Rattus norvegicus: one gene and its partner. The protein of the gene in region 1 purifies or fractionates together with the protein of each later gene. This does not show direct contact. Links are inferred from orthologs where the notes say so. Each region holds a gene or a part of one and is shown on either strand. Other genes may lie near its edges. The genes, in order: Inpp5k and Gart.

Region 1 (15,343 bases):
CTAACTTTAAAAGGCATGGTTTCTCTTTCCATCTGCACCTGGTTCGCCAGGATCTCCAGTTTACCCTTGCTGTACTTTTCTCATAAACCCAATAAAATTGTCATTGAGCTTTGAAAATAAATGAATAGATGAAGTAGAAATTAAAACATAAGTAAGTAAATAAATGAATAAAAGCAGAGAGAAAAGCATCCTGGGCTTAGGCTTGGTCAGTTTTGCGTTGTGGTGGATTGAAGGACCTGTGAGAGAAGAGAAGTGGTATCATTTATTCATACTTGTTGTTTCTGCGTGGTGCACACAGGCACATGTTCTCCCCTGTTGGCAGGATTGAGAAGGCGGATGCACTCATGGTGGAGTTCCATCAACAACAAAAGCTTTTAATTTCCTTCTGCTTTTTCTGTTCCAGATGAGACAAAAGGACCCCGTGAAAGGAATGACAGCAGATGACTAGCGCTACCGCCCTTTCTGCACTGTATGTACTGAGTCTTCCTCAGTGGGCTTGGGTCCTCAAGGCCAGCAGTTCCCTGTGGAATGAGAAAATCTACTTTGTTCCTAATCCTGTACTCTAGGAGCAGCAGTCACTGTCACTGCTGTGCTAACGAGGGGGTTCCTGGGTTTCCACAGAAAGGAGTTATGGTCACTGTTTATTTTGGGGGTGTTTTTTATAGAGGCCCATGCAGACAGACATGGGCAGGTAATGAGTGGAGGAGGTGTGCCTTGTGAGGAGTGGATGTGCAGTGTGAGGGGTGGAGGAGGAGTGCAGTGTGAGAGTGGAGGTGGTGTGCAGTGTGAGAGTGGAGGAGGAGTGCAGTGTGAGAGTGGAGGTGGAGTGCAGTGTGAGGAGTGGAGGAGAAGTGCAGTGTGAAAGTGGAGGAGGAGTGCAGTGTGAGAGTGGAGGAGGAGTGCAGTGTGAGAGTGGAGGAGGAGTGCAGTGTGAGAGTGGAGGAGGAGTGCAGTGTGAGAGTGGAGGAGGAGTGCAGTGTGAGAGTGGAGGAGGAGTGCAGTGTGAGAGTGGAGGAGGAGTGCAGTGTGAGGGGTGGAGGAGAAGTGCAGTGTGAAAGTGGAGGAGGAGTGCAGTGTGAGAGTGGAGGAGGAGTGCAGTGTGAGAGTGGAGGAGGAGTGCAGTGTGAGAGTGGAGGAGGAGTGCAGTGTGAGAGTGGAGGAGGAGTGCAGTGTGAGAGTGGAGGAGGAGTGCAGTGTGAGAGTGGAGGAGGAGTGCAGTGTGAGAGTGGAGGAGGTGTGCAGTGTGAGGAGTGGAGGAGGAGTGCAGTGTGAGAGTGGAGGAGGAGTGCAGTGTGAGAGTGGAGGAGGAGTGCAGTGTGAGAGTGGAGGAGGAGTGCATTGTGAGAGTGGAGGAGGAGTGCAGTGTGAGAGTGGAGGTGGTTTGCAGTGTGAGAGTGGAGGAGGTGTGCAGTGTGAGATTGGAGGAGGAGTGCAGTGTGAGAGTGGAGGAGGAGTGCAGTGTGAGAGTGGAGGAGGAGTGCAGTGTGAGAGTGGAGGTGGAGTGCAGTGTGAGTGGAGGAGGTGTGCAGTGTGAGAGTGGAGGAGGTGTGCAGTGTGAGAGTGGAGGAGGAGTGCAGTGTGAGGAGTGGAGGTGGAGTGCAGTGTGAGAGTGGAGGAGGAGTGCAGTGTGAGAGTGGAGGAGGAGTGCAGTGTGAGAGTGGAGGAGGAGTGCAGTGTGAGAGTGGAGGAGGAGTGCAGTGTGAGAGTGGAGGAGGAGTGCAGTGTGAGAGTGGAGGAGGTGTGCAGTGTGAGAGTGGAGGTGGAGTGCAGTGTGAGAGTGGAGGTGGAGTGCAGTGTGAGAGTGGAGGAGGAGTGCAGTGTGAGAGTGGAGGAGGAGTGCAGTGTGAGAGTGGAGGTGGAGTGCAGTGTGAGAGTGGAGGAGGAGTGCAGTGTGAGAGTGGAGGTGGTGGTGTGCAGTGGGGTGATGTACACTGCCACTAAGCACTCCTCCTCACTTGCTACCAGCTCTTTCAAGCTGGCATGCTAGAGCACTTCCTAGGCTCACACCAGTGTCAACTCTTGACTCCCTAACACTGGCATTTTCTACCATCCCTTGGAAAAGGAGCTGGACAGCTTTTAGCACTCAGCACATCTGATACCCTCCTGGTGCTAGCATACTAAGTAACTCTGCCTTCAACAAAGGCAGCATCCTCCAGGTGCTGGAAGACTTTTTTATCCAGGTCATAGGGCTAAGTTGGGTGTCCCTTGTTTTACCTGTCATTCTTCCCCAAGGCCTCTCCTTCTGTTAGTTCTCAAAGCTAGCACTTCTTCAGTGTGTACTTGTATACAGTATACAGAGTAACCTATTTACTTGAAGACTCATCCTGCAGCACAGAGTGAGGTACCTGACTCTGCCCCCATTTAGGTGGCGAGGAAATTATTTGCTCAAAGAGCACCCTCTAGCACCAAGAGGCCAAGGAAACCTAGGTAGGACCTTTTTGTTCTTTGGCTTTCTCATGGTTCTTTTTTTCCAGTGCTGGGTCAAACCCAGGGCTGTGTGAGTGCTAGCTAGGCAAGCACTGTGTCCACAGCCTAACCCGTGTTCTTAAGCAGCTTCTGGGAGATGGAAGGGGAGGATTAAGCAGATGCCAGTAGTCAGTGTAGTCAGTGCCAGAACATTAGTACCCTCTCTCCAAGGCCCCCACCAACTGGCACCCTTCCTCCTGGAATTTCTCCACTTGTCATGATTTACTGTGTTCTTGTGTTTTCCCTCGTTGCTTTCTTAATAATTTCTATTTCTCTTCTAGTTTTGCAAGACAGTGGTCCACAGGAAGGCCCAGCAGCTCCACCCTCCTGAGTGGCAGGCCATCTTTGGACGCAGCCTTTCTGTGCTCATTCTTCAGGCAACTTTCAGTCCCTTACTATAGCTATTTCTAGATGCCCTTTAACATTGTGAACAAATAGACCGTCTGGTATTATAAAGCCTGTGTGTGCGGGAGCCTGATCCTCTAAGATATATGGTGTATGCTGCTGTATTTACAGCTCATCCTCTCTCCATTGTGCCCTGACCCATTTCTGTATGCCCTCCCCCTTTATTTCCAAGTGACGTTCTCATTCTTTCAAATGTGCTGCCTTTGTGATGTGATTATTTAAGCTCACTTATTTCAGCCTTGGGATAAGCTGAGCTATTTTGCTTCCTGGGCAGATCTTTGGCAATGTTGAATATTCACTTGGGGAGAGAGGAGGAGTTAAAAATACAGAGACACCTACCCTAGCTCCTCACAATAGGAATGTGGCTTCAGAACCCTGACCTCTGCTCCTAGTAACCTCTTGTTCGCGTGCTCTAAGCACCAAGAAGGCACCCAAGGCCCAGCCAGTCTAAGAAAATTTAGCAAATAATAAATAACCCCTACTCGAGTCATTGCATCTCTGGTTAATATTTTTAGAACTCTTGGCTTCTCAGCCCTCCTGTTGCCCACGCTGAATCTCCTTGCAGAGCCTACGAGAACCCACCACTGCCCAGCTGGAGAACTGTCCAGTGTGGCCCATAGACACCAATCAGACCCCCGGGGAGCTCTGTCTGTCCATGCTCCTCTTCCCTTTCGGGCTGGTGCTGCCACTCAGCAATAACCCTCTCTGTGCTTTCTTAGGCCCCTGTCCTCTCGGAGGCTGGTTAGGGTGCAAGAGTCCTGGTCTTTTCATGCTGCACAAAACAAGCATGCAAAAAGCTCTTATCCCTAGCAAAACATACACCTTCCTGTCTCTAATTACTGGACAGGAATTTGCAGATCAAGAACTCAGCTCATCCTGCCCCATACTGAGTTCTGTCTTAGACAATCAAAATCAAGCAGTGAGTGTAGCCTAGAACACTTACACCGTAGGCTGGTGAGTGACTGTAGCCTGGAACGCTGACCACAGGAGGCTGGTGAAGCCCAGGCTCCAGGAGAGAAGAAGCTGCAGAGCACTTCCTAGTTCTAGATTGGCAGGAGCTGAGTATGCCTTTCTGGTGGGAGAGTGGGATATAGTTGTGTCACCTGACATTTCCCAAGCCTTGTTCAGTCAGCCCAGTGTGTAGTGATCCAAGCCCATGCTAGCCAGGGTACCTGTTAGAGACCAAATCTCTGCTAGGGGAGTGAGAAGTAGGATGGATCGTTCTCCTTGTCTTTGTCAGTGTTTGCCTTACTCATTTCTAAGTGCAATAAGGCAGTGAGTGTCTCAAGGGACTGCACCTGTGACATCCTGACTGGACGCTTCCCTGTGGTCCTCCTGCAGCAAGGGTAGACAGATTTGGGCCCCTCAGCATGGTTAGCTCTGACCTTCCTTGAGGTTCTTTTAAGACCAGGAGATGTCCTTTACAGAAACCTTCCTCTGTATTAGTCTCCTCACCTTGTGGAGTCTTTTTTTGGTTCTTTTTTTCGGAGCTGGGGACCGAACCCAGGGCCTTGCGCTTCCTAGGCAAGCGCTCTACCACTGAGCTAAATCCCCAACCCCACCTTGTGGAGTCTTTAGGAATGTACTTGGGGCGTCTTGGTTGGTGATTAGCATATCACCTGCTAGTAGCATGGGAAAGTTGGAGAAGAGGCAGGCATTCCTAATGGAGAAAAATATAAATGTGCTCATATAAGCTCTGTATTACCTGTCAAATCATATTTGTGCTTAAAGATTTTCCTTCAGTAACTAAGTTGAAGCCCAGATGTGAGTTATCTTGAGAGAAGTTGATACTCTAAGCAGATAGTTGTTTACATGGTGTGAGGCTCAAAAGATGTTTGTCTCCTTCAGCACTTCATGAGATCCATACATATCAGTCACATCAGCCTCAGTCCAGGCCTGCTCTTACCTGCCTGTGCCCCTGCTGTTGCCCATGTTTGAAAGCATCCAAATGATCCGAACTACAATTTCCTGAGACCAGCCTGGATCTAGGGCTCCTGCCTACATAAACACAAAGGAGGGATATCCCTGTCTGTTCCAGCCCCATGGCTGGTGTTGCTGCTGGGCACATGTTGGCTTTTAACTTCTCCCCTTCCTTTACCTCCCCCCAAAATTGACTAGCACTCAGAGGGCTGGTGATGAAAGGCTCAGTCTTGTGATAATCCTGAAAGTGTGCCACGCCTCTTCAGACTGGCTGCTTCCATTACATTTCCAGGTCTGACTTACTCCCAAAGGGAGCAGCAGTACCTCTGCACAAGGCCTGCTGGGCTCCAGCCTTCTTGTGGAGAGACACTGGGGAGGGACAGGACAGGTCACTGTTGTGGGCATGTGTGTATCCTTCCACATTCTCCTTTTACAGGCCCTGCTGGGACCTCTGACTTTCTTGGGTTGGTTCTTAGTGCTACTTCTTTTACAGACTACACTTTATAGAACTAATTAGATTACCTGTTTATTTAATGTGAGTTTGTGCCTTTTTGTCTCAATCTTCCAATACAGGTATATTGGGGAAAAAAAGCAGTCTAATAAAATCCTAGACAGAGTTTTTTTGGAGTCCAGCTTATTGGTGATATTCCTATGTCCATTTTTCAACTTAGATACCCTTAAAGTTCCTACTGATGTCTCCCCACTTTATTTACCAGGAGAGGATTATGAAAAGATACAGTGGTGTTTCTGACATTTTATGTAAATAAAGTATTCCTTGTCCAAAAAAGTCAATTCCAGTATGGATTCGGGCTGGGGGTGTAATGTAATTCAGTGATAGTATTTACCTAACAGGCATGAAAAAAAGTCACATTAAAAAAGTCCCTTGTCAGTTCAGCTTTCTTATGCAGCAATGCATATCTCAACAGTCACTTTTGCTTTTGTCTCTCTTACTCTACTAAGTAATACATTTATTTATTTACTTATTTATTATGATTTGTTTATTTTATGAGTACACTATCACTGTCTTCAGACATACCAGAAGAGGGCATCAGATCCCATTACAGATGGTTGTGAGCCACCTTGTGGTTGCTGGGAATTGAACTCAGGACCTCTGGAAGAACAGTTTAACCACTCTTAACCACTGAGCCATCTCTCCAGCTCGCTCTTTCTTCCTTCCTTCCTTCCTCTCTTTCTTTCTTTCTTTCTTTCTTTCTTTCTTTCTTTCTTTCTTTCTTTTTCTTCCTTCCTTCCTTCCTTCCTTCCTTCCTTCCTTCTTTCTTTAAGTCATGGACTTAAAATACTTCATTATTTTCAGGGCAAAAACAGCAAGACAAGCAAGATGTAAATTTGGCAACTGCCTGGAAGAACTCTCCCTTTTGAGCAGCTGCATGGTGAAGAGGTTGGGTGGGTAGAAAGAATGAAAAAGCCCAAAGCATTCTAAAAAGAAAAAAAATTAAACTTTGAGGGCTAGAGAGATGGCTCAGCACTTAAGAGCATGTACTGTTCTTCTAGAGGACCTGAGTTCAGTTCCTACCACCTACATCACAGTTTACAACTGCCTGTAACTCCAGCTCCAGGGGAATCTGAAGCTTCAAGTCTCCACAGTCACCTGCACTCTGGTGTACACACACACACACACACACACACACACACACACACACACACAGCTTGGCCTGGTGTACACACACACACACACACACACACACACACAGCTTGGCCTAAAAGAGAATACTAGACGAGGTTTGTTAATTTCACTACAAGTGGGCAAGATTAATTCCACTGGTATGCTTGATACCCAGAGGGGAAAAGTAATTCCTTGCAACTGGAGTTAGAATGGTTATGAGCCACCATGTGGGTGATGGGAACCAAACCCGAAGTCAGTCATCAGTAACTGCTCTTTACCTCTGAGCCCTCTTCAGCCCTTTCAGTTTTCCTTATTACTGTGTTTATGGCTACATGCAGGAATCAAAGGACAACTTTGAGTGATTCTTGTCTTCCCTCCAGGGGTAAAGCTCAGGTGGTTAGAGTTGGTAGCAGAGGTTGTCCCCTCCTTAATTTTGAGAACGAATCACAGCAGTTCTAATGGCCTGTAAGCTGAAGATAGCCCAAACTGGACTCAAACTTGGGAGTAGTCATACAGTCAAAACAGTTTTTGGAAATACATCACTACACCTGGTTCCAGAACATATAAAGTAGCGGGGTGTTTGTGGATTCTTGAGACAAGGCATCACTGAGTAGCTGGTACTACAGTTGTGCTAAAAGGTAGAAATCACTAACTTAGCTTTCAAGCGTTGAATTTTATGTTAAAACTCCATTTCCTTAGGGAAGTCATAATTATAAAAACCATCCTATGCACAATCCCTCCGCCCTCAAAAATAAAGACCCAAAAATCTAAAGGAAATAATAAACCGAAGTGTCTGGCAAAGTAAATAATCATAAATATACGCCAAATAGCAACGAATTGTTTTCATTCACTGATGGCTCTCTGGAATTTTTTTTTTTTTTTTTTTTTGCTTTGTATTCAACAAAATTAGTTTCGAGTTTGGCGTGGTGGTGTAATCTCGGCTGAGGTGGGAGAATCAGCTTGGTGTGCATAACAAGCCCCAGGACTAAAAAGCAAGATTGTCTCAGATGAAAAAAAAAACCCCTCAAACGACGACCACTGAGTCACTTAAAAGAATGAAGTGCTCTGAGACCCCCTATGGGGGCGCCAAGGAACTTGAGATATTACTTGTGGTGTGGGCGAGGGAGGCCGAACAGATTACAGTGAGCCTCCGGGTCCCGACCACTCCCGGCTTCTGAAGGTGGGTAGGCGGCAGGGAAGACCGTACACCGCGGGACCGCGAACCAGTCCGAGTCCGGGAGCCACGGCAACTTCCGCCCGCGCCCTCGCGCAAAGCAGACTGGGAGTACCGGGCCTGGGCGGCCGCGCCACCACCCACTCGCACGTCGGTGCGGGCGGTGTGGCGTCGGGGGTGGATGACACGTTGGACACGCCTCTGGGGTGGGGGGCGGTCTTCACTCCGCCTCTGGGCTATAGAGTCCCGCCTCTGTTCCCCAACCGCACCCCAAAGCCCTAGACGTTCAGAATCCACCTCCTACGGAAGCCGAAGCGCAGTCAGAATCCGGAAGAAAAACAATCCGGAGGGAGCTGTGCTGCTGAGACCGGAGACCAAGGGCTGCTCCGGCTCGCAGTAGCTGCAGCGCTGAGACACGAACCTACAGCATTACCACGAAGGAATAATGACGACTGCGAGTCTAAGGAAGCCGAGCGCACCAAAAGAGCTTATGCTCAGGTGAGAACACAGGTGTTGGCTGGTAGGTTCCTGGCGGTTAGCTGTCTTCAGCCCAGTCTGATTTATGGGGCTGGGTTTCAAAACCACAGTGGGATCAAGGCTGCCCTAGTTTAGACACCCAGATTCTGTCAGGCCAGTATGTAGGCTATGTATGCTAGGACTGATGCACGCTCTAAACTTGGGCTGCCGAGTTGGTCACTGCAGATGCTCCCAAGCAAGTGTCCAGTTGTTTTTTTGGAGCACACAGGTTTAGACTGCTAAGGACCAACATTCTCCTCTTCAGCTGTAGATTAGAAGTTTTGTTCCTACTTTTCAGCAGTCCATCATGGGGTCTTCTTGATCCGGCTGTGATCTCTAGAAATCCGAAATCAGATTTAGATAAGATCCTTTAGCGAGGTGAAACCTGGTCTCATGCTTGCTCTTTAATCACGAGGAACACCGCTAATCGTCCAATAAATCACGGTGCATGGATTTGTTACTAATCATTAAAACTGAAAATTGGGATGACAAATCCCGAGTTCTAGTCTTTATCCACTTAGAGTTCCTGGGAATACAAGGAGCCATTGAGTAAAAGGGTTACCTGCCGTAGTCCTCTGCTAGACAGCAGGGGGAGACTGTAACCAGACGAAGTAACAGGAGGGCTTGAGAAGCGGTTTTTTTAGTATTTTATCTTCACGGGGAGAGCCAGGGAGCTGCCTTAAGCTAGCCAAGAATTTTTTTTGTTTTGTTTTGTTTACAATTCATGCTTTAAGACCACATACCTCTGAGAACAGGATCTGGTGGAGAGGAGATGTTTTAGAATAGCCTGCCCTGTCCTTTCTGGGTGGATCTTGAGGGTCTTATGCTTCAGTGCCTCAGTATTCCTGGAACTCACAGGTTTCATCTCTGTATAGGCTGAGTTCCTGCTTGCTCTGTCCCAGAGACAGTCTGGGCTTCTTGGGCTGTTGCTATAGCAACACCCTCGCTGAAGGCTTCTATAAGTCTTTGCCTTTTTTTGAGCTTCTGATGGTATTTAAGAACTGCTAATTATTTTTCCTGATATTGAGACTTGTAAAGAGCAGAAATTGGAATGTTATGTTCCAACTGATGACTTTTCTCAATAGAGAGTAGACTCTTGAGACAGATATTAAGAAACCTGTTACTCAGAAACTTGTACCTAGGCTCAATGAAGGCCTTAGCAGAGTTTGTTGTGCTCCAAGGATCTGCAAGGTAAGAGTGAGGAAGGGAATATGCTGTCAACTTTGTTCTTTCTGAATTCCTGTTCTCAGAGCTCTGAAGCATGCGGTCATGTACAGTCAACCTCTAACTCCTTCCTGGTGCTCTTCGGAACCCATAGGTTAAGGAGTGGGCATTCAGAGTTGCTGCCTGAGCCATAAAGGATGAGTGAGGTGTAGGGGCTGATGGGCTAATAGGTTCCTGTCTATCAAACTCATCATCCTCTCCTTCTGGCCAATGGCTTTTGAGCTCCCCTGGGCAGCTCTGTGTCAGGTACTGCCAGGTAACTGTAGACCTTCCTAGAAGAGCCAGTTCACGGGAAGAGGTTCCTGCTTTCGGGACAGAGAAGGGAAGGTAAAAGCTGTGTAGTCCATCACTCCTGTTCCTCTTTTCCTACCACAAGACGCACAAACAAGTTGAACATAGTACTACACAACTTTAATCTCAGAATTTAGGAAGCAGAAGAAGACTGATCTCTATCTAAGGCGTTTGAGGCCAGCCAGGGCTGCATAGTAAGACACAGCCTGAAAAAACAAAAAACAAAAAACAAAAAAAAACCAAAATCCATGAAACAAACATGCCGACACATTTCCAATGATCACTGTAGTGGAAGCCTTAAACGTGTCTAGGTCTCTGCCCATTATCTGGAAAAATCTTAGCTTCCATTCTCCGTGACTTAACATCCTCTCCACAGCATACACGTTGTAACATGGAATGTGGCCTCTGCAGCCCCCACTGTGGACCTCAGTGACCTACTTCAACTGAACAACGAAGACCTGAATCTGGACATATATATCATTGGGTAGGTGTCTAGGGGGCCCCACCCCCATCCCTGTAGAGGACTAATGTAACTTGTCCTCCCTCATTTTGGAGTCTGAAGGTCTTGTTTTGAGCTTTCATCCTCAGTGGGTCCTGTCTTGTGTTTCTTGTCCTGGGTCAGCAATGGTCATGGATAGAAGGGCAGCAGCCACACAGCTGGGGAAGGGAGACCTCTTGGTTTTCAGAACCCAGGTCTGATGCTATGTGTGGGAGAGGCAGTGTCCTCCAGGCCAGGGATGAGCCTCTGGCTTGGAATGGTCAGTTTGCAGGAAATGAATTATGGGATCATAAGCCTTCTTTCTGATGCTGCCTTTGAGGACCCATGGAGCAGTTTCTTCATGGATATGCTTTCTCCACTGAACCTTGTCAAGGTAAGCTAAGTTTACAGGCAATGGAGGAATGTGTGTCACCTACTCTGACTCTAATTGCTTGTCCGATAGGTTTCCCTTTCTCCCTTTCAGCTAACCATTTGTCTGATGCATTCCTCTTTCTCCACTCAGCGTTTCATGTTCTTTCCCATTCATTAAAGGTTTAACCCTCACATACTACACTTGGCTCCCTGGAACTCCTGCCTTCCTCATGCTGTCCCAGTGTGCCTGGGTCTGAGCTATGAGTCCAGGGGTCAGTTTCACACCTAGGTATTTCTCACCTTGGGAGAATTCCTAGTGGTAATGCATCAGGGCTTTTCAATATCTCAGTGCTCACTCCTGTCCTACCCTCTGGTCTCTTCTTACTGCCCAGCATGAAATCTCTGGAGTATAGTACTTGCTACAATTTATGGAGTGTTGATTTGATGTTAAGCATTATAAGTAAGCTCTTGGTGTGTGTTATTTTTCAGTCTTAACTCTCGAGATAGAAATACTTTACAGATAAACCCAAAGCTAAGAAATCACATGGGCTCTCTAGAATCCGAATCCAGATTTTTCACGTCTCTGGCTTTTGTTCTAAACTATCATATTTTATTGCTCTGCTTATGTATGCTAAGACTGACAGGTAATTCCAAAGCTAACCTGCTGATATCACAGAGAACATGGATATCAAGTTCTGAGGGGCTCAGAAGTTGGAAGAGGGGAAGACAGGTGTAGTGCAAAGTGGTTCTTAGTCTGAGGGACCAGTGCACTTTGGGGACTTCGGGGATTCATTAGACCATAGCAGACTGACTGGAAGGTTTTAGGCCCCTGGGTTTTTTGTTTTTTTGTTTTTTTTTTTTTTTGGTTCTTTTTTTCGGAGCTGGGGACCGAACCCAGGGCCTTGCGCTTCCTAGGTAAGCGCTCTACCACTGAGCTAAATCCCCAGCCCCAGGCCCCTGGGTTTTATTTCTGCCCTGTACCCACAATGAATGAACCAACTCCTTTTTTTTTTTTCCAGAGCTGGGGACCTAACCCAGGGCCTTGCGCTTGCTAGGCAAGCACTCTACTACTGAGCTAAATCCCCAACCCCATGAACCAACTCCTAATCAGAGTATCTAGTTCACAGCTTCTTGGAAATACCAGAATTCTTTTGTTCCCTTTCTAGGATGAGTTTTATTCTTCAGTAGAAATTCAGTTACCTGGTTTGCCCAGGGATATTGAAGCAAGAGCTGTGTGGCTCTGAGAAAGAGAAATGCAAGACTTGGTTCTCCTGAGGCTGGGTAGTGTCAACCCCAGAACCCTTAGGTTTCCCACAGAACAAACTGAGATGCCTCTTCTAGAAGACTTGGAGCTATTCATGGAGGGAAGAACCTCCTGTCCCAAAACTCATTTCTTCCTAAGATTCCGTGACTCCTTGTGCCTTGACAAATTGGCAAGGGATTGGTAGGATGGAATGGAGCCACCCTACCAACTTAGCTCAACTTGTGTCAGGGCCCAACCCATTCCACTCATGTGGCCTCCTAAAATTGAGGTCTAGGAACACAAAGCATATGTCTCTCCTTTCCTTAGCCAAATAGATGGGCAAACCCTATTTATAGCTGGTTCCTTGTGGGGATTTACCAGCTGTTGTGAATTCAGAGGACCCTTTTTGGCAGTCCAGTGTCTAGTCACCTCCTGCCAGTCCCCACAGCTCCTTCAATTTAGTTTCTTCGCACTGGAACTTTCCCTGGAAGGCTCTAGTTTTTCCTCACAACCCCCCCCCCCCCATTCTCCCAGTCTCACACTCCCTGCCCTGTTCCCTGCTTCCTGCTGCTCTCTCACCAAGTGCACTGGTCTTTGTGCGAAAGCCCAGTGGCCCAAACCTGCTATGTTAGTTAGGATTAAATGTAACTCCACTCCTGAATCTTATCTGTTTCTTGGTTTCTGTCCTGACCCTGGGATTTCGTCCCTCATAAAATAACTCTGCCCAGATTTCTATTGTCATAGATAGTTGTGAATGGGAGAAATAGAAAACTATAGCTCAGTGGTAGAGCCTATATAGGTTTAAGTCCTGTTACAAAAACAAAAACAAAAAATTAAGACGACTTAGAGAGTAGGTTAGTATTACATATGTAGCAACCCAGAGGGCTCAGGCTCCAGAACCTCCCTTGCTCAGTACTGAGTTTGGGGACCTCCCTACTTTGACTCTTTTGCAGTGCTGGGGCTGCCCTTGGATTGGGGGATCAGGTTTCATAATTCCTGGAAGGCACCAGTACAGCTCCCCACCCGGAGATTTCCTCCTTGGCCTTTGCACCTCATGCTCCGGAAACAGCTACTGGAGTGGTGGACAATCCAGCCCTGAGAAAGAGGGTCACTAGGGGTGGGCTTTTCCCACCCCACCTCTGCAGTCACTAGTAGTAGGCATTTGGCAATCCCCAAACCATCTTCCTAGTTCCTCTGCCTCCCAGAATCTCAATGCTGCACAAGCAAGCTAGGGAGCAAGCTAGGAACAGTGATTCGTGACAGCTGGGGGAAAGCTTGGCCTCTCCTGGGTGTTAGCTACTTTCCCCTCCAGAGCCTCCATGCTCAACACTTACTTCATGTGCACTGCCCTGGTGGACATTCAGCCAGAGTCTGAAGTTATTTACTTTTTTGCAACTGTGTCTCATAGACTGGCTTTAAACTCCTTATTCTCCTGCCTCTACCCCCTGAGCAGTAGGATTACAGGCATATGCCATCATGCCTAACTTTCTAGTTATCACACCACACACACACACACACACACACACACACACACACACACACACACACACACACCAATTTAAATGGTACTGTTTTACTGGGCTAGAACATGTATAGAAAAGTATTCAGATGCTTACCCAGCATGCATAGAGTTCTGAAATTGGTCCTCAGCATTAGGAATGGGTGTAGTAAGTAGGTGTAGAGTCAGTTAATTCTTGCATTTGAATTGCTATCAGTCAACTCAAGATTCAGAACTGCACCCTAAAAGTGTCTCTCTTGTTCTTGCTTATGTTGAAGAGTCCCTAAGCCAAAGTGGGTATGGGAGCACATACCTGTAATCCCAGCACTCAAGAGGCTAAGGCAGGAGGATTGGCAGTTAAAGATCTACCTGGGGGGTTGGGGATTTGGCTCAGTGGTAGAGCGCTTGCCTAGGAAGCGCAAGGTCCTGGGTTCAATCCCCAGCCCCCAAAAAAAGAAAAGAAAAAAAAAAGATCTACCTGGGACACCTAGCAAGACCTTGTATCAAAAGGGGAGTAGGGTGGAGAGATGTCTCAGTGGGTTAGGACACTTGTTGCAATGGCTTCTCCAGGAGTTTGGATCCCAGCACCCATATATGAGCACTATGGGGGAGTGGAGAGAGGAGACTCACTGGGTTTACTGGCCACCAGCCTAGCTCCAGGGTGAGTGAGGGATCCTGTTCCAAAGGAACAAGGTGGAAATTGATAGAACAGAACACCCAATAACCTCCACAATGCTCACCTACACACAGATATACACTGAACCAAAAAAATAACACCTTCATGTAGGCATGGTGTTATCCTGCTTCATTCGATGGGAAGAGAGGCTAAAAGATGTGGAAGTCTCCAGGGCTCTTAGGACAGCATATGTAAGAGAAGCAGCTCCATGGCCATGGGCTGGCTGGGCAAGCAGTGCCTTTCTAGTGGCGAGCTGCCCTGGAAGCCCCCTGGAACACATTGTTTGCAGTTCAGAGGAAAAAAGGAAAAAGCTGAAATTTAGACTTAAACTGGGCTCCATAGACTTTCAGGCAGGGATTTGCATGTGGTTTCAGACTCTTAAAAGTCCCTAGTTGGGCTTAGTAGGGATGCAATTGGCCTTCGCAGTTTAATAAATGACCTTTGCCCTTCGATGCAGATCTCTCAAGTCCGTATGCAGGGGCTTCTCTTACTGGTCTTTGCCAAGTATCAGCATTTGCCCTACATCCAGATCATCTCTACAAAATCCATTCCTACTGGCCTCTACGGGTACTGGGTAAGGACTGAGCTCTGGTCTGAGACTTGAGCTAACAAGGGACGCTTTGCAAAGCTAAGCAAAACAGGGGAAGTCAACTGAGTCTGCATATTCTGTGTAGCCTAGGACCCTGCATACCCACCCCCATAACCCACCCCACACCCTGCCATCCCAGCAGGGCCTGGATATTCCTGAGATCCTAGATTTGGGTATTGAGCTTTGTGCATGGAAGAATTAGCTGGGAAGCTGTGTGTCTATGGCTGAAATCCTGGGGGAGGTAAGACAGCCTCTCCTCAGACCCAGCGTGGGAAAAGAGGGGTATGTATACAATCCAGAGTCTCTCCCCACCCTTCTTCCCACCTTTCCTACCAGGGGAACAAAGGGGGAATCAACATCTGTCTGAAGCTTTACGGCTACTATGTCAGCATCGTCAACTGCCACCTGCCTCCCCACATGTACAACAATGACCAGCGCCTGGAGCACTTTGACCGCATCTTGGAGAGTCTGACTTTTGAGGGATATGATGTCCCCAACATCCTGGACCATGAGTGAGCCTGAAGCTACAAACTGTCATCCCTGTCCTCTCCCGTGCCAGCCAGACTAGCATTGACCAAGTCTACTCTCCTGCCAGTCAGGAGGGCTCCCTCTCCCAACCCCTTTCCTGGTGTCCCATCTGCTATACCACTCAGCTTTGCCTGCTTGATGTCTCCTTTCCTCTGGCCTCTCTGTCCTTCCTAGGAACCCTGGACAACTGTAAACATCCCCGGTCAAGGCCCTGGTGGTTCCTGAGTTCACCCAGGGCTGTTTATTAGCTTGTCCTGATGGGCAGCTTGGGAGCAGGAGGTAGAGCCTTCCTCATATTTGCCATGTGCTCCTCTGGGAAAGCCCTTTAACTTAAGTAAT
Region 2 (14,915 bases), on another chromosome or scaffold:
TTAGACTAATAGTAAAATAGCCAACAGCTCGTTTTCAGATCACAGGACCACAACATCACTGTAGAGAAAACAAGGTCATTCATGCCAATATTTTTACTATTTTTGTGTAAACTTGCAAAAATATTTAAAACACATTCAGTTTCAATTAGAATTTTATTACCTGAACACATATAAAACTGCTACCTGCTAAGAGTTTTATTAGAGAAACTAAACACTTTGGTGAGGATTGGTTTTCTAACACACAAACCTTGTTAGGCTAATAATTAACATTTCTAAGTACTGACTATTGTCACTTTCTATTGCTATGTTTCTAAGACAAAGGCCTCACTAAGTAGCCTTGGCTGCCTCAAACTCAAGAGATCTGCCCACCACTGCCCATCTGCTGGAACTAAAGGCATGCATCACCATACCTGGTCTGCAACCTATTTTTTAAAAATCATGTAATTTTAACAAGACTCTACAATTAGAACTATTATTGTTTCTATAAATGGAGGAAAAAACTATATGCAATAAACTTTGTGTTAATCTCACCACCTATACTGATGAATATATAAATAAGCGAATAGGGAAAAGTAGTTCACTGATATGGCAAATTAAAACATGTTTGTAGATTGACTATGCCATAAAACATGCTGTTTTTCCTCTAATGCTCTCAAAAATTTTTACTGTTTCTAAGCATTCATACTTTTTTTTAAAGACGGGGTCTGTTTTGTCTGGCCTGGAACTCACTACTGTAGACAACTAAGGCACAGGGAAGTTCTTGCCTCTCCTCCTGAGTACTAGGACTAAAGGTTTGCTCCAGACACCTAGGGCTGGGCATGAGGGCACTGGGAAACAGAGGCAGAGAGATCATTCTCAAAAAAAGGAAAAAAAAAAGTCAATCAATCTATAAAAAAGAATTTTCCTTAAAGCCTCCAGAATGCTAATTATAGTTACTAAAAAGTAGTTAGAATTTCAAGCCATTTTTCTGTCCAACAATATCCTAAAAATGAATTTATGTAGTTATGAAAAGTGCTCAAATAATGTAAACATTGAAGGGAAAAGTTGTACACAGTATATTGTCTAAAACAATACAAAATGATCAAACGAAGAGAAAATGTATTAGCAGGGCATGGTGGCACAAGCCTTTTATTTTATCCCAGCAGAGGAAGATGCATCTCTGTAAGTTCAAGACTAGCCTGGTCTACAGAGACAGTTCTAGGACAATCATAGCCACACAAAGACACCCGGTCTTCAACCCCACCCCACAAAAAGGTAAATACAATTAGTAGGAGAGACTGCTTGAGTTTCAGAATGGTGGTATTACAGGGCTTTAATCCTAGCAGAGGCAGGCAGATCCCAGAAAGTTCAAGGCCAGCCTGAAATACATAGTGAATTCTAGGTCAGTCAGAAGGACCTAGTGAGACCCTGTCTCAAAAAAACAAAACAAAAAACAAAAGTTTACAGGAAAAATTAAATTCCCTTAGTTTATGTTTCATGTCGTTTAAAAAAATAGTATCCAATGTCTCAAAATACTAAAAAGCAACATAGTGGGTAAATATTTACATTACTTAAACAATTGTGATGCCACCCATTGATTAAAAGATGACAACAGGCCAGTTTCAGCTACAAGGCAAAGTTGTAAGCCGTGACATAGTGCCTGTCCACAAGAAAAAAAGAAAATAGAAAACAAAAACACCCTATCTTGAAAAAAAAAAAACAATTTCTGCAGTAAATTATTGTTATTAATATTATGGTATCCATAATCCTAGTTAACTTGGGCATATAAATTACAACTATTTATCAGCTGATTTTTCTAACTCATGTATATGTATTGCTCTGTTCTCAACTTAAACCACTCGTAAGAAAAAAAAGTAAAAAAATTTACCTCGGAATATTTACTTTTTAAGTTATCTTTCCTACCATGTTTTAAAGAAATGGTCATTTTATACAAAACAATATTAAAAAACCTAACATGGCCTACACCATTTTCCCGAGTAAACAACTAAGGAGCTCTCTTCAACATGAAATTTTGAGAACCAAGGCTAATCTCTGAAGTCTACTGGCAGTGACAAAATAGCACGATGTTCAAATCCGTCCGTTAAGTCGGGGTAGCAAGAAAAATAACATATCCACACACATTCTCCACTTTCCACTCAATAAAATTAAGCACCCAACAGTTTCAAAGCCCCCTTCTGTCGTCCTGTCGAATGTTTTCTCTTGGGTCTCACATCGAACTGAGACGTTTTAGTTTACAACTGTGTAAAGAGTGCTATCCGGTCTAAAGCACAGAGCACTAACTGGGGCCCGAAGCGTCTGTCTAATAAATAGACTCCGGTGGCCAAACGTTCCGAAGCGTACAATAATAAAGAAGTTTTAAGATTGCCCAAGAAGCGGCCGTTAGAGACCCTTTCCGGCCATAGACACCGGCCGGCGAAATGCGCGGAGGCGGGGAGGGGGAGGGGAAAGGCGGCGGCGGAGGAGGAGCTGGGGAAGGAACTAGGCCCGTCCCTGGTGGACACCGGGCCTCCGAGTAGCTGGAGGGTAGGGGGTGTCCAAACGAGAGGAAGGTGAACATCTTAACTCGAAGAAAGAAACTGCGTGTGCGAACACCGCGGAAGGGGCGATCTTTCTCGAAAGGAACGAACGGAGGCTTGGGGGGGGGGGTGAGGGTGGATGGCCCGGAAAATGGATCCCAGGCCCAGGCGGGGCCGTAGCGGGGCCTGAGCCGAGAAACGACGGCGTCTTCATGAAAGATGCCACGGGAGGATAGACGAAGCCCTAACAGCCCGCGAGGAGCAGAAAAGTCTGAGAAGCGTTTACCTGGAAAGCTCCTGTTGTATTTCCCGGAATTTACTGACCACGAAAGACCTAAAAACCTGCTCGATGTCGGCCGCCATGGCGTCCGCTCCGTTCTCTCAACTCCTCCTCGCTAGTCCTCCAGGCTCCCAGCATGCCTCGGGAGGAGGCGCAGCGGCCAATTCCTTTTATCCCTTCCCTCATTGGCTCATGGGGGAGCGTCCGCACGGGCTCGCTCCACCCACGAGCCAATCAGCGAGCACCGGCCCGCTCTCCTCCGCTGTTTCTGAGCCGCCCGGGGTAGAGGTGCTGACGTTTGCGCCGCGCAAGAACTAGTCCGCCATGTTAGTGTTTGACGCAGGCGCCATTACAGGAGAAGGCGCTCCCGGAGATGACCGCGACAGCTTCAGCTGTTGATCCCCTCAGCCTGTGGGGACTCCTAAGAGGCTTTCCGTAGCGAGTAAATGCCTGAGATTAGAGACCATAGAAAAAGGAGACAAGAAAGGCCTCAGATTGTATAGCGCGGAGCTTTGATGCGTTTGTTGCAAGCGCCAAGTTTACTTTGGTCTGGAAGACCTGCATGAGAAAGAAATTCCCCCCATCCCGTGTCCCCACTGTGAAGTGGAAAGGAGCGATTCCCCATTCTGTCTCGATACTTCCTATAACCGGCGTCACGTGTTTTTAGCAAAGGCTGGAGCGTCCAAGCGACCTGCGATCTAAACGGGGTGCACTTGGACTCATCCGGAGTCCAGCCCTAGCCGGTCCATCCTGGCGCTTGGTTAGCGGTCACAATTAGGTAGCCGTGGCTCTGCCCCCAGTGCAGGAGGCTCTGCGGTAAACGGAGGAACCTTAGGTGGCACCCCCTGACAAGTGTCAGCACTAAGCCTGGAACCAGGGATTCTTCGACCCTGTAGGCAGCGGGCTCCGACCGCACCCTAAGGCGGGAGGAACCACACGGATCGCCTCGCGGGCGGGGACCGAGGCGGGCCGGCCAATAAGCAGCAGAGCCCATCGGGGGCGGGGCAGAGGCCGGAGCGCGCTGGATTCCCGGGGCCAACTTCCGGCGAGTGCGAGTGGCGGGTGCGAATGCGAGCTGCGTGGCCGGGCTTGCAGGTGCGTGAATCCCTTAGTTTTTAAATTGATGCGTGGACTGCGTTTACGCTCTGACCTGTGGGTTTAACCTCAGCAACCGGTTCTGCTATTGAAACTTGGCGTGGCTGGCGAAAAGGCCACGTGCTTTGCACAGCCTTGACAGAGGTCGGCCAGGTACTTTACCAGCTTTCTAATTCTGAGGCCGGGTCCAGGTTTCTGTGTATCTCTGCCTTTTAAAGACGAACTCTGTACACCAATGGCTTTTTCTATCGGCTCTGGTTTTATCATTGTCGCTAGGTTTACCTGGACCATTTTCTTACTCGATTTCTACTCTTTTAAAACAAATATTTGGAAGTGGTTTTACCGGACTCTTTTACTCTCTCCTTACCTGGCTCTTATTCTCGCTATAAATAGCCTGCTAGTTAACTGACACCCAAGAAGTTACAAAAGTCTCTCCTGGTTTCCCGACTGGTAAGGCCATGTTGACAACGGAGCCCAGGCACCCCAGCCTCTCCTGGTAAAGAGACCAGTATTGCTGTTTCACAAATGCTGAGTAGTAAGTGAAAATTGTCTTCTTGCACTGCTGTTCTTATTCAAGTTATATATTAAGGTCTAATAGCTTCAGCTATCTCTAAGAAAATGACACATAGAGTTGAACTAAAGTCTATTTTATGTGAAGGAGTGTTGATGTATGTTTGTGCCCACGTGCACACAATGAACGCCCCAAAGAAGCCGGAAGAGGGCGTTCAGTCTCTGGACCCAGAGTTAGGATGTTTGTGGGCCACCTTGTGGGTGCAGGAGACTAAACTAAGTACAAAGTGTTCTTAACAGACCTTGCTAGTCTGCTTGTTTTTTCTTTAAATATGAAATCCCAAAATAAAGTAACGATTTAGGAGTTACAGATTTCAATTTTCTTTTTTCTGTAACCATCTTCCGTATAAGTAAATACCTTGATAATATCTTTCCCTCCCCTCCCTTTTTTTTTTTTTTTTTTTTTTGGGTGCTAGATTTTGAACTTTTATTCTAAGCAATAGGATACTTTATAGTAGACAATATTTTAATGCCATCTCAGTTAATTCTTAAGAACTAAACTTTTAGCAAATGCCTGTATTCAAATGAGATATGTTCATATTTGATTTTGGTTTCTCTAACATATTTCCAATCCAGAGCATCCAATAAGATCTCAAATCATAAGCCTGCAAGCTTATGACAATAAACAAAATTTTGCCACTTGTTTTTTTTTTTTTTTTTTTTACAAACACCAAACACAAATGGGAGAAGCCAAATGTGGTGGCACTTGTTTATAATCTCAGCACTCACGAGGCAGAGACCAGAGGATCTCTCTGAGGGCCTGAGACCTGCATAGCAAGTTCTCAGACAACCAGGGATACAGAGAGACTCTGTCTTTCAAAAAGAGAAAACTGTTGAAGGAAAACTGGTTTAGTGGTTGAAGTTGCAGTGCCCAAAATACGCTTAGTTATGAACCTCCTGTGCATAATGGCTTGCTGTTGTGTAGAGCGCTGATTAGGCAAAGAACCTCTGCCCAGTGTTTAAATAAATCATTTTTCTGGGTGATACACACTCACTTAGAAGGGACAGTACATTAATGTTCTGTCAACATTACAATACAAATGTCATAGTTTGGACAATGCACAGATAGTCCTCAAATATATTTATTTCCTGGCCCTTGACAGAGAAATTGTATACTGTTAATTCCTGTTCTCTGTACCACATTAAGGCTTAAATTTATAAATTTGGGTGTAACACTAGTTGTCCTAGCTACTTGGAAGACTGAGACAAGAGAGTCTGGTTTTTTCTTCAAGTCAGGGTTTCTCTGCTTGTAGGCCTTGCTGTCATAGAGCTCACTCTGTAGTCTGGCCTCACAGTGAGAGATTACCTGCCTCTCCCTCCTGAGTGCTGGGATTAAAGGAGTGTGCCAGCACAGAGAATCAATCTCTTGATCTTAGGAATTAAGATCTAGAGTAAGCAAAGTAGCTAGCAGGCTCCATCTCCTGAATAAATAAGCAAACATCAAATCCATTTTCCTGCTAAGGGTTGGTGACTATCAGATGGTCCACAAGAGAAGGAATGTCAGTAGATTGTTTCTCAGATGAGGTGCTGTGTTAGTATGCAGGCTTTTGATTGGCCAGATAAGGTGTTGTATTAATATACAGGCTTTTGGTTGGTCAAATGAGGTGCTGTATTAGTATACAGGCTTTTGGTTGGTTGGTTGGGTTTACTGTTATGGGATTACGGTGGGTAAGTTACAAAGGAAAACTATTTGTGTAGGCTTATGGTTATGGGGGCATTTGTTCTCTGTAAGTGGCTCCGCCCCCTTAGCACACGCCCTATTTTCCATGACGATGGTCATCTTTCCAATTCTAACCTCCAGGTTTGGGGGTGGGGCATCTGCTTTTTTAGTTTTTTATTTTATGAGTATTTTTCCTGCATGTATGTGTACCTTGTGCCCAAGGAGGACATCGAAGAAGGTCAGGTCCCCTGGATCTGGAGTTGTAGACCCTTGTTAGCCACCATACAAATGTTAGGAATTGAGCCCAAATCCTCTGGAAAAGCAACCTTGAGCCATCTTTCCAGGTCTTGGGGGGGGGTTGTTTGTTTTTGTTTTTTGTTTGTTCGTTTGTTTGGGTGTTCCCAGGGCTATCCTGGAAGCCCCTATGTAGAGCAATCAGGCCTCAAACTCAGATCTGCCTGCCTCCGCCTGCCTCTGCCTCTCGAGTACTGGGATCAGAGGCGTACACCAACATGTCCTACCGTAAATCCCAATCTTTAAGTAATGGATTTCTGGATGTCACTCGTGTGAAAACAAGTATTACGTGAAAATCCTATTTATAAATTATGGTTTGTCCAACTAGGCGTGGCAGTACCTGCCTATAGTTCCCACACTTGGAAGGTGGCTAAAACAGGGGTTGCCGTGAGTTTGAGACTGGCCTGAGCAACATAGCATGGCTTTCTCACAACAAAAAGAATAGCTGGAGATGCAGCTCAGTGGTTAAGAGTGCTGACTGCTCTTCTAGGGGTCTGGGGTTCGATTATCAGCTAACCAATCCCAGAGGATCCAACAGTCTCTTCTGGCCTCCATGGACACCTGACACAGCTGTGGCACACAGGCACACATACAGGCAAAACCCCATCACACACAAAAATTAACAACATAAAACACCACCAAAAAAGAGAGATTGTCTTTCAAATACACGTATTCTAAGATGCTGACTATGGTTTTCTTTCTGCAGGTTTCATTTGGCTTCTGAATTCCTGCTTCGGAGACAACAATGGCAGCCCGAGTTCTTGTAATCGGTAGTGGAGGAAGGGAACACACCCTGGCCTGGAAACTCGCACAATCCCCTCATGTCAAACAAGTGCTGGTTGCCCCAGGAAATGCAGGCACAGCTTCTGCTGGGAAGATCTCCAATGCTGGTAATCACATTTCTAAATGCGGAGTTAATATCTGTTGATAATAAACAGTAGCTCATGTATGCCCTTTAATAAGGTGTATTTCTATTTAAGTTTGAATGCGTTCTCTCTAAGTTTACATTTTGAAGGTAGTAACTGAATTCTCATTGTATGAGGTAAATAAAAGTAGTGTATTTTAAGCCTTATGAACCACTGTGACTGAAAAGGCCACCAGTGCATAATGTGGATTAAAGGCACTTTCTATGTATGGAAAGTTGACGGGGCTGTCAGATGTGGATTCTGGTCCCATTGGTGATCAGCTCCGGAACTACATTCAACAGTTGCTGGCCGTAAGATAAAGCCCGACTTCCTCATCTTACCCTACCTGTCTTGTTTCGCCTTGTCTGCACAGTAGCCAATGTGGCGCATCATATTTATGGAGAGAATTAGAGAAAAGACAGAAATAATAATAAAATACCTCCTTCTCTGAGGTGGTGCTTTGTCTAGAGACAAGGAGTGGCATGTGCAGTTGGGGTTGTAGGGACCCACTCATCAGAATCACCCGGGATTGTCATAAATTTAGTGCCATTTGCAGCAGCTGAGGGTGGGTGTGCCCTCACTTTTAATCTGGTTAATCCAACTGAGTCCAGTGGTGTTGGATGGAGAACCTGGCCTTCTCTAGACATGGAGAAGAGTTTTCTTACATAGAATCATTGCCTTCTTTGCTTAAACAGCTCAAAGACCCTCCCTGACTCGACCAGAACCAGCCTCCCAGTTTGCCTTACAGCAGATTGGCTTAGTTCGTCCACATTTGCTATTGCTTATGTAGTTCCTAGCTAATATTCATGCACTGTATTATTAATATCCCAAGATTGAGGATACTAGTTTGTTGTAACATCTTAATCTCAGGGCCTATCACAGAACCTAATACATAGTGGATTTTCAGTAAACTTTGAGTGATCTTTAAAAGACAAGTTTCTTAGTGTATTGTCTGGGCTTGTCTGTTAACCCTGTAACCAACTCTGGGACAGGGGCAGTTGGACTATAATATTGGGAATCACTCAATTGCTACTGAGCTTTATTTAACCTAATGCACTATTCGGAATCTCTCATGGTGAGATTACTAACTACCAACAAAAGCAAACCAACAATTAACTTGGTTTTTAATTATCTTACTAAGGATAGTGGTTAGCTTATTTCATTAACTGGAGATATTTTTGCACGTGTATGAATTTATATTTTCTGCTTACAGCTGTCTCCATCAATGATCACACTGCTCTCGCTCGGTTCTGCAAAGATGAAAAGATTGAACTCGTAGTTGTTGGACCAGAGGCCCCTCTGGCTGCAGGTAAATTTTATTTCTCATTCTTACAACATACACAGTGTCCATAGAAGTTTAGAGATCATTTTATCTCAATCACTTATCGATGAGGATTTGCAACAAAATACATTAGGAGCTTTCAACCCTTAGAGTTTAGTCATCATAACTCAGTCTAAATCTATAGAGAGAGACCCTGATCACTAGATTTCTGTTTGCTACTTCTGTAGGGATTGTTGGGGACCTGACTTCTGCAGGAGTGCGATGCTTTGGCCCCACGGCACAAGCAGCTCTACTGGAGTCCAGTAAAAAGTTTGCCAAAGAGTTTATGGACCGACATGGCGTCCCAACTGCACAGTGGCGGGCATTCACCAGCCCTGAAGACGCCTGCAGCTTTATTATGAGGTGGGCAAAGATGACCTTCAAAGGGCAGGTGTTTTATAATGGTGCTTAAACGTACAGTCACTTTCATCTTTAAAAACACAATGTATAGGCCAGGGCAGCGGTGGCGCAGCCCTTTAATTCCAGCACTTGGGAGGCAGAGGCAAGTGAATCTCTTGAGTATGAGGCTAACCTGGTCTACAGAGTAAGGTTTCAGACCGCCAGGACTACACAGAAAAACCATGTTTTGAAAAATGAACAAACAAACAAAAAAAGAATAAAAAATGTTTATTTCTTAGGCTTTCACAGGTTTATATTGAATTAATTATGAAAATATACTCTCAATACAATAACTGGTGTCCTTTTTCAACACTAAAATAAGATGGGATTCTCTAGCATTTGGGAAGTAGAAGCTGAAGGGTCAGCTCAAAGCTAGCCTGGGCTACGTGGACCCAGTTTCAAACCAAAAGGAGAAGAAGAAAAAAGCCTAGGATGTTGTGTGTGCTTCCTGTGTAGTAGACTGTGTGTTGATGTCTTCACTACTGAGAAGTCTCTAAGGAAATATATGTTGTCCTGCAACCCAGAAACACAGTGATGGGTCACAGCAGCAGCATGATCTTAAACTAATGGCAGTCCCCCTGCTTCAGCTTCCCACATGCTGGGACAGTAGGTGTGATCCACCATACCCAGCAGAGTTACTGAATTTGTAAGGCTTTTTTTTGTTTGTTTGTTTGTTTTGTTTTGTTTTTTTAAGGTTTCTTTCTTTTGTGTGTATGGGTGTGTTGCCTGCATGAATGACTGTGTGCCCACAAAGGTGAGGTGAGGGCTTAGCTGCCCTGGGTCTGGAGTTCTGAGCCACCAAGTAGGTGCTGGGAATCAAACCTGTGTCCATTAGGTACCCTTCCCTCCTATGTGTGGAAAGCATTGAGTACCCTGAGCGCACATGCCTTTCTCCCCACTTTGTTCTTTCCCTCCAGCCACCCTTCATTAACCTTCAGTTGGGTCATGTTTTCTCTCTCTCTCTCTCTCTCTCTCTCTCTTTCTTTCTCTGTGTGTGTGTGTGTGCATGTGTGTGCGTGTGTGTGTGCCCGTGCACATACAACTCAACACTTAATGAGACTGTAGCTGGTAAGTCAGTTCTCTCCTTCTACCATGTGGGTTCCGGGGATCAAACTCAGGTCAGCCACCTCACTGACCCTAGTTCATTCTTTATTCATTCTTCATCCTATGAGGTTTTCCAGAGATAGTGGTCAGGCAAGGTAGAGCTATCTGTGTAGCCCTGGCTGTCACTTTGTAGACCAGGCTAGCCGCAGAGAGATTCACCTGTCTCTGCCCCCAAGTGCTGGGATAAAAGACAAATGCCCCCTCTGCCCAACTCCTACCATCTCCCTAACACTGACTGTTGTTGCCCTGTACCCACACGCCTTGGGTAAGTGACAGCTTTGTTACTTACTTTGGCTAGCCTCCTTCTAGTTCTCCAGCCCACTCCATTGCTGTGTGTTCTAGGAATGGTCTGTGGGTGTCTGCCAGTGTTAGTCAGGTCTCCTGCTGCAGTGTCCCTTACGTAAGTGTGAGGCTTTGCTTTGTATCTTGAGAGGCTTTGCTTTGTATCTTAATGATTATCCCATCTGCTCTACAGATCTGGTTATGTCTTTACAGATTCTTCCTTATGGGACCCCACTATATGTGAAAAGCAAAATTGTGCATGCTTTATGATCAAAATTACAAAGGAATATATAAAACAATCTTGGCATGATACTGGCATCATATTTTTTTCTGTGTACCTTTCAATTTTGCTGAAACATACTGTTCCAAATCACAGAGCACTAACTGTTTGCTCCCTGTCTTCACAGCGCGGACTTTCCTGCTTTGGTTGTGAAGGCCAGTGGCCTTGCAGCAGGGAAGGGGGTGATTGTGGCGAAGAGCAAAGCTGAAGCCTGCGAAGCTGTTCAGGAGATCATGCAAGTGGGTGGATGCTTCTGAAAGGCTCTCTGTGTGGGTAGATGCTGCAGCTTCACAGAGTGGCCCCTGGGTGTGCCCAGCCCTGGAAGATAGTTCACACTGTAGCCTGGGTTATCCGTATTTAACTGGCAGGTCATGAGCTACACCAGTGTCTAAACGCCATAGTGTCTGCTACTGAAAGGTAGAGGGTCTTTAGCCCATGGGACTTACAGATCACGCTCCAAGTCCATGAGAACTAAGGCATTCCAAGTGTGTGTTCCAAGTCTTAAAAGTAGAGCAGTGGGTAGATACAATGTTTCTTTGCTAATCTACATTAATGATTATGGCGTTGCCTCTTAGAGAAATCCATTTTTACATACTTGGTTTTGTCTCATTTATGTGAACAAAGCTACACAGTCATCTTCAGAAATAAGGATGATGGTGAAATTGTGTCAGCAAACTAAGAGATCTGTGCATCACATCTGTACAGTGTGAGCCTTGCCTGCTGTCTCAAGAGAGGCCAGACAAATCCATGTTAAGTCTTCACACAAGAAAGAATTCCAATGCTCGTGTATTTCATAACTCAAATAGGAGACAGTTCTATAAGTCAACTTGGTAAATATTAAAAGCTTTGAAGTTTACAAGGCCTTTTATTTTTATGATTAGGAAAAGTCATTTGGAGCAGCCGGTGAAACTGTTGTCGTGGAGGAGCTTCTGGAAGGGGAAGAAGTGTCTGTACGTACAGCCATCCCTGCCCTTAACACACACCACCCTGCCCCACAACCAAAAAACCTTGCTTAGCCCTGGCAGCTTCCTGTGGGAACCTGAGCCCAGCAGTTTCAGAGGACGCACACCCTTGTGTTCTCTTTAATCATCCCCACACCAGTAGCTCTCAGCCCCTGTAGGCTGCAACCCTTGTGTTGTGGTGATCCCCAAACAAAATTATTTTTATGCTATTTCATAATGTAATTTTGTTACTGTTAATAAATCACAATGTAAGTAATTGGATAAGTGACCCCTTTCAAGGGGTCATGACCCACAGGTTGAGAACCACTGGTCTATGCTTTGGTAGGAGTACTTGGACTTAAATCACACTATGGAAGTTCTGTACATTTGTTTCACATACACTTATTACACAGCATGTGCAACTTAAATATAGCATGAGTGCTGGATGTCTCGACAGCAGGAAGGTCGATCTTTGTCTTGGGTAGAACCTCCTTTTGTCCCTGTTGCTACAAACGGCAGGTCCTTTTCAGGTTGGATAGCCAAGGTCTTCTGGCTCAGGCCATCTGACTTAGGAATTATTGTTCAAGCTTTTCAAATATGAAACCTTTTCCTCTCAGAAGAATCCTGTTTGACTTTTTGACATTTAACTTAACCTGATTGGACTAATCTGTCTTCTCCACAGTGCCTGTGCTTCACTGATGGGAAGACAGTGGCCCCAATGCCCCCAGCACAAGACCATAAGCGATTGCTGGATGGAGATCGGGGACCCAACACTGGAGGAATGGGAGCCTACTGCCCTGCACCTCAGGTACTGTGTGCTGCTCCTGATCCCACGGTCTGACTCTTTCTCTAACAAGCGCTTCGGGAAGCCTGAGAGGAACTGACAGCCATCTAGCATTTAAAAAAATGGGAATTAAATGAACTCTGACTCTGTCCCCTCCCACCTTGTGTACACCCATGAGATCCAGAATCATTCTTTTCCCCTCTCAGTACAGGGCCTAGAATACACAAAAAGAATTGAGATCCAGGACAAGCCATAACTGTTCTGTCTACTTAATACTGAGAGGCGGTGTCCCCAATTGCTGGTCAGTTTTGTATAAGAACTCTCTATTAGCCAGAAGCAGTGGTGTACCCCTTTTATCCCAACACCTTGGAGGCAGAAGCAGGAGCATCTCCAGGACAGCCAGAGCTACATAGGGAGGCTCTGTCCCTCTGACCCCCCTCCAAAAAAAAACAAAAAACAAAAAACCAGCAAAAGCAAGCATCTTTTATGGGCTTTGGCAATATTCATCTTGAGACAACTGTCTGTAAGCCTGATTTCCTCAATTAAATATACTAACTCATATCCATGGATATGTAGGCTTAAAATTTTGGGTAGCATGTACTAGAAGGATTCCTAAGGAGCATGAGAAGGGGAGAAAATTTAAGCATTGTGTCTGAGGAAAGGGCAGGCCTTGTTGAGGTGAAATAGTGACTGGATGGAGGTGGGCGGGCCTTAAGATTGATGTGTTTGGCAAGGGGTTGAGGGAAAGTGAAAGTAGACACTGACTTAGTTCCTTTTTTTTGTCACCATCCTGTCCTTACTATGAGAACTTTGATCTCCAGAGTCTTCCCTGTTGTGTGAGGCTTTGTGTTTTGTTTTAGACAGTTCTTCCTATAGGCCTGGGTGGCATGGAACTATATAAACCAGGCTGGTTGCAAACTCACCATCTACCTGCCCTTGCCTCCCGGGTATTAGGATTAATGCAGCACACCGCCACACCCAGCCTTAAGTGATTTTAAAAACAAAACAGTTACATCTAAATGTTTGTGTGTTCCCCAGGTTCCTAAGGATTTGTTAGTAAAAATTAAAAACACAATTCTTCAGAGAACAGTAGATGGCATGCAGCAGGAGGGGGTGCCGTACACAGGTAAGCAGGCTGCACAGAATGTCTTTACAGCACCTGTGTGCCTTGGCTGGAATGCGTTGTCTCTTTTCTACAGCTCTAATCACAGTGCAGTGTTTAGTATTAGAAGCTTGTATTCTAGGAGTAGAGTTGGAGCTCAGTTGGTAAAATGCTTGCCTAGGATGAATGAAGCTCAACAACCATAAATTGGGTATGGTGGAGCACACCTGTAATCCCAGCACCTGGGATACGGAGGTAGAAGGATCAGAAGTTCAAGGCTGTCCTCAACTCAGAATGAGCTCAGGGCCAGCCTGCGATGCCTGAGACTTTATCTCAAAAAATAATTCATGCTCTAGGTCTTGTAGTTATAACATACTGTTGTCATTACGCCATTACAGATTGGTTTCCTTTTTTCTTTTTTAATAAAGGAATTCTTTATGCTGGTATAATGCTGACCAAAGATGGCCCAAAAGTTTTGGAGTTTAATTGCCGTTTTGGTGATCCAGAATGCCAGGTGGGTAACAAATAAAGTACTGGCTAGCGTGGTTCATGTCTTTAATCCTAACACTCGGGGAGCAGAGGCAGCTGGAGCTCTGAGTGTGAGGCCAGCCTGGTCTACAGAGTGAGCTCCAGAGGCCAGGGCTCCAGAGAGAGACTTGGCAATGGTGGTGGTAATAACACTGGCAGGAATAACCAGAACAACATAGTAGCAGTAGTCCACACCCGCGCTTCAGGAGAGCGTCCTTTTCTTCCATCAGTGTCCCAGGGAATGAGTGGGAACCATAGATAAGGAGAGGTTATGAAAAGGTCATCTGGTCCACCTCCCGACTCTTCCTCCAGGTCATCCTCCCACTTCTTAAAAGTGACCTTTATGAAGTGATTCAGTCCACCTTTGATGGCCTGCTGAGCGAGTCTCCGCCTGTTTGGCTAGAAAACCACAGTGCCGTAACTGTTGTCATGGCGAGTGGAGGGTATCCTGGAGCCTACACCAAGGGTGTGGAGATTACAGGTGAGGAGCAGTGGGTAAGAGGTTTGCCACAGCGAGTGCCGTTCGTGTTCTTTCCTGCTCCGAGAGACATGAGTGACCTGGTCAGACTCCCAGTGTGATCTCACTGCAGCCCCACACCTCCTCCTTCCCAGAGCCGGGTGGTGGGCAGGGTGAGATTTGCATTGTTAGCATGGACGAGTGAGACCTGAGAGACATGAACTCTGCTTTGCAAGTGCAGTGCCGGATGGGGATTTCTATGGCAGGATTTAATGTTTGAAATCTAGTTCCCCCTCCCCCTTTTTTAACAGGCTGTGAAGAAGTATCTGGATAAATGGTGTTAAATCTGTTTATAAATGAAAATGAAGTGCCAGATAAGTTGTGCCATCCAGCCAGA

Evidence for each region.
Region 2: the proteins of Inpp5k (region 1) and Gart purify together in Homo sapiens (co-immunoprecipitation; 3 studies listed by BioGRID and IntAct, counting the BioPlex papers as one, with this or other methods). This does not show direct contact. The link is inferred for Rattus norvegicus from reciprocal best matches to the Homo sapiens genes INPP5K and GART.

The regions. Positions count from the first base shown.
Region 1 is NC_086028.1:60,966,259-60,981,601, forward strand, and holds the start of Inpp5k (inositol polyphosphate 5-phosphatase K), read left to right. Parts: upstream 1-7,924; 5' UTR 7,925-8,034; coding exon 8,035-8,087; intron 8,088-9,996; coding exon 9,997-10,104; intron 10,105-10,383; coding exon 10,384-10,492; intron 10,493-14,344; coding exon 14,345-14,461; intron 14,462-14,812; coding exon 14,813-14,988; intron 14,989-15,343. Other genes in the region: Pitpna (phosphatidylinositol transfer protein alpha isoform), read left to right, coding at 404-448. UniProt on the Homo sapiens protein: Inositol 5-phosphatase which acts on inositol 1,4,5-trisphosphate, inositol 1,3,4,5-tetrakisphosphate, phosphatidylinositol 4,5-bisphosphate and phosphatidylinositol 3,4,5-trisphosphate.
Region 2 is NC_086029.1:44,365,993-44,380,907, reverse strand, and holds the start of Gart (trifunctional purine biosynthetic protein adenosine-3), read left to right. Parts: upstream 1-3,821; 5' UTR 3,822-3,891; intron 3,892-3,907; exon of another isoform or gene 3,908-4,044; intron 4,045-7,121; 5' UTR 7,122-7,160; coding exon 7,161-7,305; intron 7,306-8,533; coding exon 8,534-8,629; intron 8,630-8,829; coding exon 8,830-9,004; intron 9,005-10,833; coding exon 10,834-10,945; intron 10,946-11,587; coding exon 11,588-11,656; intron 11,657-12,329; coding exon 12,330-12,455; intron 12,456-13,469; coding exon 13,470-13,557; intron 13,558-13,961; coding exon 13,962-14,047; intron 14,048-14,373; coding exon 14,374-14,542; intron 14,543-14,915. Other genes in the region: protein SON, read right to left, coding at 2,803-2,879. UniProt on the Homo sapiens protein: Trifunctional enzyme that catalyzes three distinct reactions as part of the 'de novo' inosine monophosphate biosynthetic pathway.